Danio rerio: one gene and its partner. The protein of the gene in region 2 purifies or fractionates together with the protein of the main gene of each other region. This does not show direct contact. Links are inferred from orthologs where the notes say so. Each region holds a gene or a part of one and is shown on either strand. Other genes may lie near its edges.

Region 1 (5,319 bases), on a different chromosome or scaffold from region 2:
CAAACACTCACTGATGTATTTTTGATGTAATGTCCATTTGTAAATGAACACATGCACTGCACATATGCATGTGTAAACGTATGACACACAAATCGATTTGTAATTCCTGATCGCAGTAAATAACCTGTATATAATGTTTATATCTATTTGCATATTCCTGATTATCAAGAGCAACCTGTAGATATCTATTGATAAATATCTGAGTATGGTTAATACAACCTGTATATTTGTTTACAGTACATCCATCTGTAAATGTTACCTGTCAGCATTGCACTCATGGTTACACCTGAACTGCATTTTGCTGCCTTGTACTTGTAAATGTGAAATGACAATAGGGTTTAATCCACTCTTATACATATCTTCAATAGTAACAATGCATGGTGCACAATGTTTATTGGAATTATAGCTGTCATATTTAATAGCCACAGTTCAGAACACATCAGGTTTGTGGAGTTTAACCATAACAGTGTGAACGTTTATCATCTGCATGTGTTTTTAAGGCCTGTGACTGTCTGAGCATTTCAAGAGAGGATTCAGGCACAACAAATTATCCGTTTGAAACTTTAATAAAGATGAATTTACTGTACAGTCTTAATGAAGACTATACTTTAACATTCGATTATATCATTTCTGTCCCTGAATACTGTTAGACTCCCCGAAAAACCATAAAGCAGTGTTCATAAGGGCTGCATGATACTGAGAATATATACAACACTGTTGTTAAGTGTTGCAATAACAATATTTCTTCTTTTAGTATGATATGCAATGATCATACTAAAATAAACAGGTAATATCTATTATTCTCAGCTAAATTAAATAAAAAAAACAAACACATTTAGACTTTAAAACACCACGAATAACTGAAAACACCAGCAGATAATCTGATTCCTATTATTGTCCTCCCTTTCGTCTCCCAGCATTAGTATTAATTTCAGCTCGTTTCACCACAGGTGGAGATGAAGATAGTAAGGCTTCAGATCTGGATAAACAATATATGCATGCAGCACACAAACTCTTAGCACTTAAAATGCAGTCAATTTTGTACACTTCTCAGCGATATGGAGATATCATATACTATTATCCTAATAATTTTGTGATATATTGTACAGCCCTACTGTTTATATCATTTTTATCATACCTCTGTTGTGTTTCTCTATTGCTTTAATTTGTTTATTACTTTTATGGATAATTCAATCCCATTATTGATTATCCCTATCAATCTAAATTAATTATTTCTAAATGGAGCTATTCAAGCCATCTGGTGAAATAGTTTTCACCTTATAATATATATATATATATGGCAGAAAATTTAAATATTGCATTTTCAGATTTTTCCAGCTGTACTTTGATGCTCTATTTATGTTCCAGAATGCAGATATTAATGTAATAAAATATCAAACTTCAAAAGGAAGCACTAGTAGTGGAGAAGCCAATCCCACAATGCACTACAGCACTCACATGAAATCTGAAGTCTCCTTTGAGCATGGAGCAGAGGTCTTCAGCCACGTCAGACATACACGGGTGAAGAGTGGCCACCAGACGGGCGTAAAACGGCAGCAGATCCAACCTGAAGCACAAATACACACACACACATCAACACAACTGAAAGAAGATTAGCAGCTCCATCTAGTGGAGAACAGATGAACACACAGTTGAACACAAACACACACCTCTGTCTGGGCACTGTGAACAGAGCACGGACTAACTTCCTGCGGTTTGACTTGGTGTTCATGTTCATGCAGAAGTCCATTGCAGCCTGGGGGAAAAAAATATACAGAAAATCTTAACCTTGCAACTATTCAACATTTTTGATTGAAATTAATTGAAGATTAATTAAATCTTTTGATTAAAGACTGACATAAACAATGTGTATGTATGTATGTATGTATGTATGTATGTATGTATGTATGTATATTTATATATATATATATATATATATATATATATATATATATATATATATATATATATATATATATATATATATATATTGTTTTTTTTAAACAACATAAAAATAATGAATAAAAGAAACAGAAATTAAATAAAAAATAAAAAATAAAAATATATGATTAAAATCAATAAATAATAATATAAATAAACAAATAATAAAAGAAATAAATAACAATGAATAAATAATAACACTAATAACAATAAATAAATAATAAAATAAATAAATAAATAACAAAACAAATAAACAATAAAATAAATAAATAATAAAATGGTCATAAAAATTCTAATGAACTTACAAAAGAAAAATTAAGACAACATAAGAAAAATCTCAATAAATTTAAAGTATTTACTGAAAACCGTGAACTGAACTGTTTGCATATATAACGAGTATAAAGAATAATTATAAAATTTCAATATATAAGTAACCTTTTGAAAATTAAGAAAATATTAATAGCATTAAACACTACAGTATTTAACAAAAAATGTTAAATATTTAACTTCTAATAATTAAGTTAAGAAATCACAAAATTAACAAATCTGTGTGTGTGTGTGTGTGTGTGTGTGTGTGTGTTTGAGTTTGTGTGTGTTTTGCCCGTTCACCTTGTCGATCAGGTCTCTGTTAATGCAGTTTGGCAGCTGCTGAATGAAAGCGTCCACGATGAGCTTTAGATGAGAGCCGGTGCTGGCCTCCTCATCCTCCTGCTCTGTAAACACAGCACAATGATGCTTTACTCATTCATGAAACTGACAGTAACATGATGAGCAGTGCATAGAAACACTTACATGATCACACACAATGAAAATATGCAAGGGAGATTAGAATACTGCATTTAGTTATTTTTTTCTAGCAGTTAACAAACAAATTCATAACTCAGAGGGAAATCAAAAATCCCCACAAATCATAATAGTAATAATATCATATTTGTTTAATAATAATTATAACAATTTTATAATTAAAAATCAAATGAGATATCATCTGAAAATCTGACCTAAATTAAAGAACATTAACAAGAAAAATGCAGGATATGAATTTGAAAAAATTTATTATTTTAAATAATTAAAATAATTATTTTTATTTTCCTATTATTTAGTCTTATTTTAAATGTAAACTCAGAATTGAAGCAAAAAATACTTTAAAAAGTCACTTTAAAAAGCTTTTAGTAGCAGTAATAGTAGTAAAAGCATCTCAGAACTTCAGTAAATAAATAAAAAGTAATCATTTTGAGATAACAAACTCAGAAACAATGATTGATAACAGAAGCTGGAGGTTTTGAAGCTGCGCTGAGCTGATCAGCTTGTCTTGAATATTGTACCTTGCTCATCCAGCAGTTTTTTGGCCAGTTCTTCACTCTCCACTTCATCGGTTGCATCCAGATCCATCGGTTCATCAGCGATGTCCAGCGCCTCCAGCTCCATCTCCAGCTCCTCAGTGCTGTTTCCCTCTCGGCTTTCTGTAACACACAAGCACACACAATTATTAGTTCATCAAAAACATATTAGTCCTCTCCATTTAGCCATACTCGAGTGGTTCAGATATTCTGGAGAATGTTTGAACAAAGCAGCATTTAGCTAGTTTCCATCCACCTAATTCTGTGCACATTTTCAAATATTGCATAAAAAATGCCTGATGCTACCTTTGCTGCTCTGGCTGCTCTTCTCGTTGTCTTTGAACAGGATTGCAGGAACAAACGCTTTCAGATCCACCATGTTCTCATAGAAGTTTCTTGCATCTTCATCCTCCCAGATTCCTCCTTCTAGATCATACTCTCCTGGCTTCCCCGGTGTGAAGATGTCGATGCCTGGACCGTGCTCTGCCACACAAAACACACACGCTGCATGTTGTAAAATACCTTACGATAATACTTTTGCATTATTTGGATTTGCCAAATAGAATAAGATCATATTAATTTGATTAGTGTTATGCAATGGTAAGAACTTGATTTGAACTACTTAAAAGTGGACGTTTTAAAAAAAAAGCACACTTATGACTGATTTTGTGGTCTCATATGTCAACACAAACTCTCTATGGTGCGGTCGCACCTTCCTGTACGGTTTTGTCCTGGGGCAGTTCCGGCATGTTCTCGTCCAGCAGGTCGGCCAGAGTCTGAGTGTTGGCCAGCAGCTTCTGGTACTGTGTGGCGAACTCCTCGTACTGCTTGTGTCTGTCCTCGCTCAGCTCGCCTTTAGAGTGCAGGATACGTCTGGACACACACAAAACACATGTACAATTTTATAAAAGTTGTTTTTATACCTGTGTGTGCTGTTGGGTCGTTCTTTATCCACTCTGGGGTAATTTTTAAGGCTTAATTTGGCCACAATTATCTCTGTGTTTCAGCAAGTTTAATGATTTTGCTGATAAATTGTATTTTGACACATATTTTGGGAAAATGCTTTGGAATTATTCAAAAACTCAACAGTAGACTGGCCAAATTTACTCCCCTTTGGTTATGTTGGGGGCTGTTTTTACCCCATTGACTTCCATTATAATAAAATTTTTCGATTGCAAAGCCATGACAGTATAATCATGCATTCTTGATTGATTGTTGCTGGTTTTCCCTGTTGGAAAGACCTACAATTTGTCATTTTTATGTATTTGTCATTTTAAGTCTCAAACATTATATAACAGGGCTGCATGATATTGGAAAAAATGACATTGTGATATTTTATTTTTCTACAATAGATATTGCAATATTTAGTATAATTTCACCATATAAAATAAATAGACCTATTTGGTAGGAATTTATAATTGTAGATACATTGGGATGATTTTATAAGAGAAAGCATCTGCAAAAAATACAATAAACCAATTGCAAACATTGATAAATACAGTGAAGCAATGATACTGTACTAATGAAATGCACAGTGCTTTATGATTTTCTGAAAGTCTAGCAATCTTCAGATAGACACATTTTAAAATGTAGAATAATACTATAGTTTTAATATTTACATAAATATAATAATCTTTCATAAAGTTAGAGACATCCCTTTTTATGCCTGGATAAACTTTATAGTTAAACATTGCAATGAAATTAAATACAGCTCCTGGTCAATTATAATTAGAGATGTAACTGATTTCACTATTAACCGCAATTTAATTTGGCATGGTTAATTCATCATAAAGGCTTCTCAACAGCATGTTTATGCATGGAACAAAACTGTGACAAAACCGCGAGTCACGAGACAAGAACTGCTCTATACTTTGTAGGGATTTTACACATCCATACAAAATCCATACACATGTCAGTGGGCGCCGTCTTTCGGATGAGACGTTAAATCGAGGTCCTGACTCTCTGTGGTCATTAATAATCCCATGGCACTTCTCGGGAAAGAGCAGGGATGTAACCCCAGTGTCCTGGCCAAAGTCCTTCA
Region 2 (5,319 bases):
GGGGAAAACCTTTTTTGTGTTGTTTTTTCTGGCTTATATTTGCTGATATGTAATTGTTCAGCTAAATTTCATGTTTATTTTATGGAATTCACTGTTATTTGTCAATCGTTTTAGGGAGGAGAGGAGGAGGAGGAGGCAGAGCGTTTCAGTGAAGAAGAGGCCTCACGTCCTGCTGCAGAATCCAAACCTGTTGCAGATGCTCCGACAGAAGAGCTTGTTGAAGGAGAGGAGAGAGATGAAAGTGTGAAGGAAGTTAAAGCAGATGAGAAGGGGAACCTTGCCGGCGAGCGACAGAGTGGAGACGGACAGGTAAGGAAGTACAGAACATTCAGTCTTTTGCTATGCTAAATTCCTGGCAGGATTCAGTTTCTGTTTTTTGCGGAAGTTGTAAGGGTGTGCAATATTTATGCGATAATATTGACGTTATGGAATCTGACACCACACCATCACAACTATTGACTGTGTGAAAGTCTATTAGAATTGAGTTGATTTGCTCTTCAAAATTAACTTTAAACAGAGTGATTCCTGTTTTGATGTTTGTACAATATTATACAATACAGTTAAATCCGTTTCACAGAGCAATGTAAAATTTGCAGTTCTGCTAACATGAAGTGGATAGTTACATTTATTATTCTTTAATAGAGCTGTGAACCTACACTGGTCTCATGGTTCGGTTACAATTAACATGCCATCGATTCGGTTTAATTCGATATCACGGTGCATTGTCAATGCTTTTCTATACAGTTTTATATTTTCTTCACAGTACAGCAACTCTTGTATTAAAATGTGTCAATATTTATATATTATTTTTAATACAATTTTGTCCTTTAATACAAACAGTCAGATATATAAACTGTGCCTATAAACAACACGAGCATTTATAGCAAATAAACACATAAATATCCCGCTCGCTTTCTGAGTTCTTGGTCACGCGCTCAACTCAAAGGGCTGCGATTGGCTCTACGGGCTGGCGTTGTTCACATAGAAGTAAAGCCTGGTTTAAACACAGATAAACGGCAGCGGCGATCCATGATAGATGTTAGGGAGAAAACTCTGCAGACATGCGCTCGTGTCTGTATCCAGAAGTATCGCTGTAACAGCTGAGAGGAGAGGAAAAGTGATGCCAACAGGTCAAATGGGCCACAGTGAGAGAGACAGAGATGGAGTACTTTCTCTCAATCGCAGTGAAATAGGGGTTTCTGCTGTAATTGTCAGAGAAAGACTGTCCAGCAAACACACAGTTTCTGTGTTTTTAAGTAGCTGGAGCATTGTAAATACTCGCGCTCCCCTCCCTCGTCACAGTAAGCTACGGCGACATAGCACATATGACGTTAATGTCACTGCTTATTAACCGGTTATGATTATTACTGAACCGATACCAAATTGTCCGTGTCTGCATCACACTGCACAGAAGAAACAATTAATTTTGACACCCATATTCTTTAATAATTTTTGTGTTACTTTCTGAAATACTTTCTCATACTTTGTGTGTGTCTGTTTTTATTTTATTTAATTTTTTTTAAGTCACACTGTAAAGCCCAATTTATACTTTCGCCGACTCCGCATCGCAGACCTCCGCTGACTGTCTTGGCACCTCGAGTAACAGACAAGGCTTTTATACTTGACTTGTTCACCGTAGTGATATTCTTTAAAATGACAGGGGATGGTTAAAAAAAAAACAACAACTGTAAAATCAGACAAATTAACAGATGTGGGAAGTTTCTGGAACTACGTCATTTCATTAATATCAGTCAAGATTTTTTTAACTATTTTTTTAAAATAAATAATTTATCATAATGATTATAAAGATTTTTAAAACAAATTAAATTTTTTTTAATCTAACTTTATTACATATCTTGCTTTTGTTCATATCTCAGACAGTTCTGCCTATTAAAGTTCAATATCAGTGACAACAGAACATGGGTTGCTCTACAAATATATGTTTTTTTATTATGGCAGGAATAAAAGCCATAATTTTATTATTTTTTTAAGAATTTGCCCGCTCTACAATACACACATTACTGTCTGACTAGTTTGTGTCCTCTGTGTCAAAGCAATAATGGTCCAACATTCCAGACCATTATTATCAATAAAGCTAAGAAAAACACGGCATCAGTATATTTTAAACCGATAGCTCTAAAAATTCCTTTCCCGTTATCAAACAAATAATTGACTTCATTTTAGTTTTGTAACTAATAAATCATTTTAAGTTCAAAATTGTAAAATGTACATCAGTGTATGACCTATGAATGGTTTATTTTTTTATTTTTAACAAACTTATCACTCAAGTTTGTTTCCTGTAATCTGCTTTAATGCGTATGGCCACCCCACCCCTAACCCCAACCCCCAGTGACATAATTTTGTAGAATATGTGCAAGGAAGGAGGAGCTGAAGCTGAGCTCTGCCTAAGTGGCTCTGCAGTGAGTACCACTAGAGTTTTTCTAAACTTTTTAACAAAAACATAACTTTTTTTTTTCCACGGCTGTTGCAATTTCTAGCCAAGAATTATTACTCATCATTATCCCTGTTATCATGCATGCATGGATGGATCATATAGATGTCGTACCTGTTTTAGACTAGATCTTTTCAAAGTTTTTCATATTTACTCAATCGAAACGCAGTGCCTCACAAACTGTTCGCTTGAATCTCTAGTTTCATGCACTCTGCCAGACAAAATCATGTCGGTGCACCCAAAGCGAACTTCCACAAACTATGCGATGACGCCACATTCGCCGCATGCACTCAAGCGAACTAGCGAACACAAAGTATAAATCAGTTTTAAGATCTCTGCTGTCATAATGTCAGACTGAAAAACAAAGACATGCCAAACACTGAAGAAAACTCACCCAGAGTTTGATGTCATCCATAATAATAATATTATTGTATATAAGAATATATTAGATAACGAATTTTAGCCTAGGATTTCAGGAACCTTTTAGGATTTCCCAAATTTGTTTTAGATGTCCAAATTGCAGTGTATGTCTCATATTTGGGCTCTTTTAAATGCACTATCAGGGTATCCGCAGAGTCTTAAAGTCTTAAAATCTCTCAAAATCTTAATGTCTTTACTTAAAATATACATTTTAGGCGTTATAGAGGCTTAAATTTTCTGAAATATTGTTGTAGGTCTTAAGTCTTTTTTAACAGCTTCTTAATGATCTGGCCATTAACACTCATATAATCACCAACAAGCTCAATCTCAATTAAACTTAACTTTTTATTTAAAAATTACACTAAACTACTTTCCTTACAGCAACATGTTTAAACATTCTCCATTTATTTACTAATAAGAATACTGACCTGACCCATATTTTTATCGTTATTATTGTATTATTAAGTTATAATAATAATTTTTTTGATAGGGCAAGCGAACATCTTTTCCAATTGGGATATTCAAATAAAACTTTTTAGCATTTAGCCCTGTGTAAGTCTAAAATTTCATTCATATTGGTCTTAAAATGCCTTAAAGTCTTAAGTTTAACTTGGTGAAACCTACAGAAACCCTAACTATACTTGAATCCAAACTGAATTTTAAAAAACCTAGTTATCTTCTGTAGCCTATATAGACTTTAAACTAGACCATTACCTCAGTGACACTTCTGCTTGACACCCAAGTGCTGCTGCTGCTCCCAGTGTAAATGCACTAATCTGACAACATGAATACTGGGAAGAATACACTGCTCATGATGTGAAACTGGCCTAAATGTCATTTATTTATCCATGACAGACCAAAGCGGTTAAAATATCAGCACAAAAACTGTGTGCAGTTGCTTATTGGCAAAATCCCGGTTTTCACACTCTCACCCCTTAGGATGGAATCACATTTAAACCCTTAGCAAGTATTTTAACAGGAACATTTTGGCAAATAATTAAAACAGTCCTCTGACAGATTTAAAGTGTTTGGCTGTGATGCCACAGTCTGCACCGAGACTGTTAAATCACTCTGTCAGTAGTGCTATTGATTGCAAATAATTTTCAGGGCAGAACTCAAGTTAAGACTCAAATGTTTACAGGAAAGCACAGAGGATCCTGAAAATAAAGGCAGTAAAGGCCAGAAGCTGGATGATGATGAGGACAGAAAAAATCCAGCATACATCCCTCGAAAAGGCCTTTTCTTTGAGCATGACGTGAGAGGCCAGGCAACTGAGGAGGAGAGGTGAGGAGGGTTTCTTTCAGACATACATTCATATAATTAATAAATATACAGAATTTGAAGATAAGTTTCAAGTATTGAATCAGTTCTGTGCTGCACAATTCTCACTTTGGTGCCTCCACTCTGTTTGTCCATCTGTCTTCAGGCCTAAAGGCAGAAACAGGAAGTTGTGGAAGGACGAAGGTCGATGGGAACATGACAAGTTCCGTGAAGAGGAGCAGGCACCGAAATCTCGTGATGAGCTGATTGCTTTTTACGGCTATGACATCCGCAATGGCACAGGGCCCAGTGACGGACGATCATATCGCTCCCGAAAACCCAGGTGAGCTCATGGTCATTTCATGTGTATAAGTGATACTGGTGATATGTCAATTTTAATTGTTGTGCTTTTAATGTTTGTTTGTCATTTCTCACCTCCTGATTAAACAGACTCTATGTGAAAGGGGTCCAATCAGTTTCTAAATGGTCAGTTGAAATGCTACTAAAAATTATCAGAAGAGATGGTAAAGGATTGTTGTCAATTCAAAGAAGAGACCAAACCAGGGAATTTTCGGGAATCTTCAAAGCAGAATCCTTTAATAAGAACTTGCTGTTGATGTGGCATTCATGGAAAGATCTCTACTAATTCGGGTCATGGAACCAAAAACTGTTGTGAATTCAAAGAGACAATACCAAGGGAGACTTTCTGGCATCATCAAAGCAAAATCCTTTAATAAGAACTCTGCGTCGCTTTGGCGTTCATCGAAAGATCTCTACTAGTGCAGCCAAGCACTCAGTTTTACATACATTTTTACAGACATATGTAGAGACAGCCAAAACGAAGCATGCAAATGCAGTCCTGGGGTCAGCATGATGTGGTCAAAAGAAGTATTGGGGTCAGAACCCCTCCTGCCACTTGACCAGTTATGTTATGATCTCTAAATATGTTTGGTGACTAAAATATTATTTTAATATATCTATTTAATAAATCTGTTTTGTGTAAATGCACCAAACATACATACCTTGCCTAGATCTTGCCTAGAAATGAATAAATTTTTTTTCAAAATGTGTGTCCTCAGTTATGCTGAGCACTGTATTTGCATTAGCCTATAAGCAACTGACTAGCTGTCTTATAATATCTCATTGTTTCATTCTAGACATGCCGGTTCACCCAGTCGAGAGCCCAG

Evidence for each region.
Region 1: the proteins of casc3 (region 2) and upf2 fractionate together in Homo sapiens (co-fractionation; 3 studies listed by BioGRID and IntAct). This does not show direct contact. The link is inferred for Danio rerio from reciprocal best matches to the Homo sapiens genes CASC3 and UPF2.

Annotation. Positions count from the first base shown.
Region 1 is NC_133179.1:1,376,286-1,381,604, forward strand, and holds part of upf2 (regulator of nonsense transcripts 2), read right to left. Parts: intron 4,152-5,319; coding exon 3,991-4,151; intron 3,762-3,990; coding exon 3,585-3,761; intron 3,402-3,584; coding exon 3,264-3,401; intron 2,655-3,263; coding exon 2,551-2,654; intron 1,757-2,550; coding exon 1,671-1,756; intron 1,568-1,670; coding exon 1,459-1,567; intron 1-1,458. UniProt on the Homo sapiens protein: Involved in nonsense-mediated decay (NMD) of mRNAs containing premature stop codons by associating with the nuclear exon junction complex (EJC).
Region 2 is NC_133178.1:22,191,236-22,196,554, reverse strand, and holds part of casc3 (protein CASC3), read left to right. Parts: intron 1-114; coding exon 115-309; intron 310-4,013; coding exon 4,014-4,156; intron 4,157-4,298; coding exon 4,299-4,475; intron 4,476-5,289; coding exon 5,290-5,319. UniProt on the Homo sapiens protein: Required for pre-mRNA splicing as component of the spliceosome. Core component of the splicing-dependent multiprotein exon junction complex (EJC) deposited at splice junctions on mRNAs.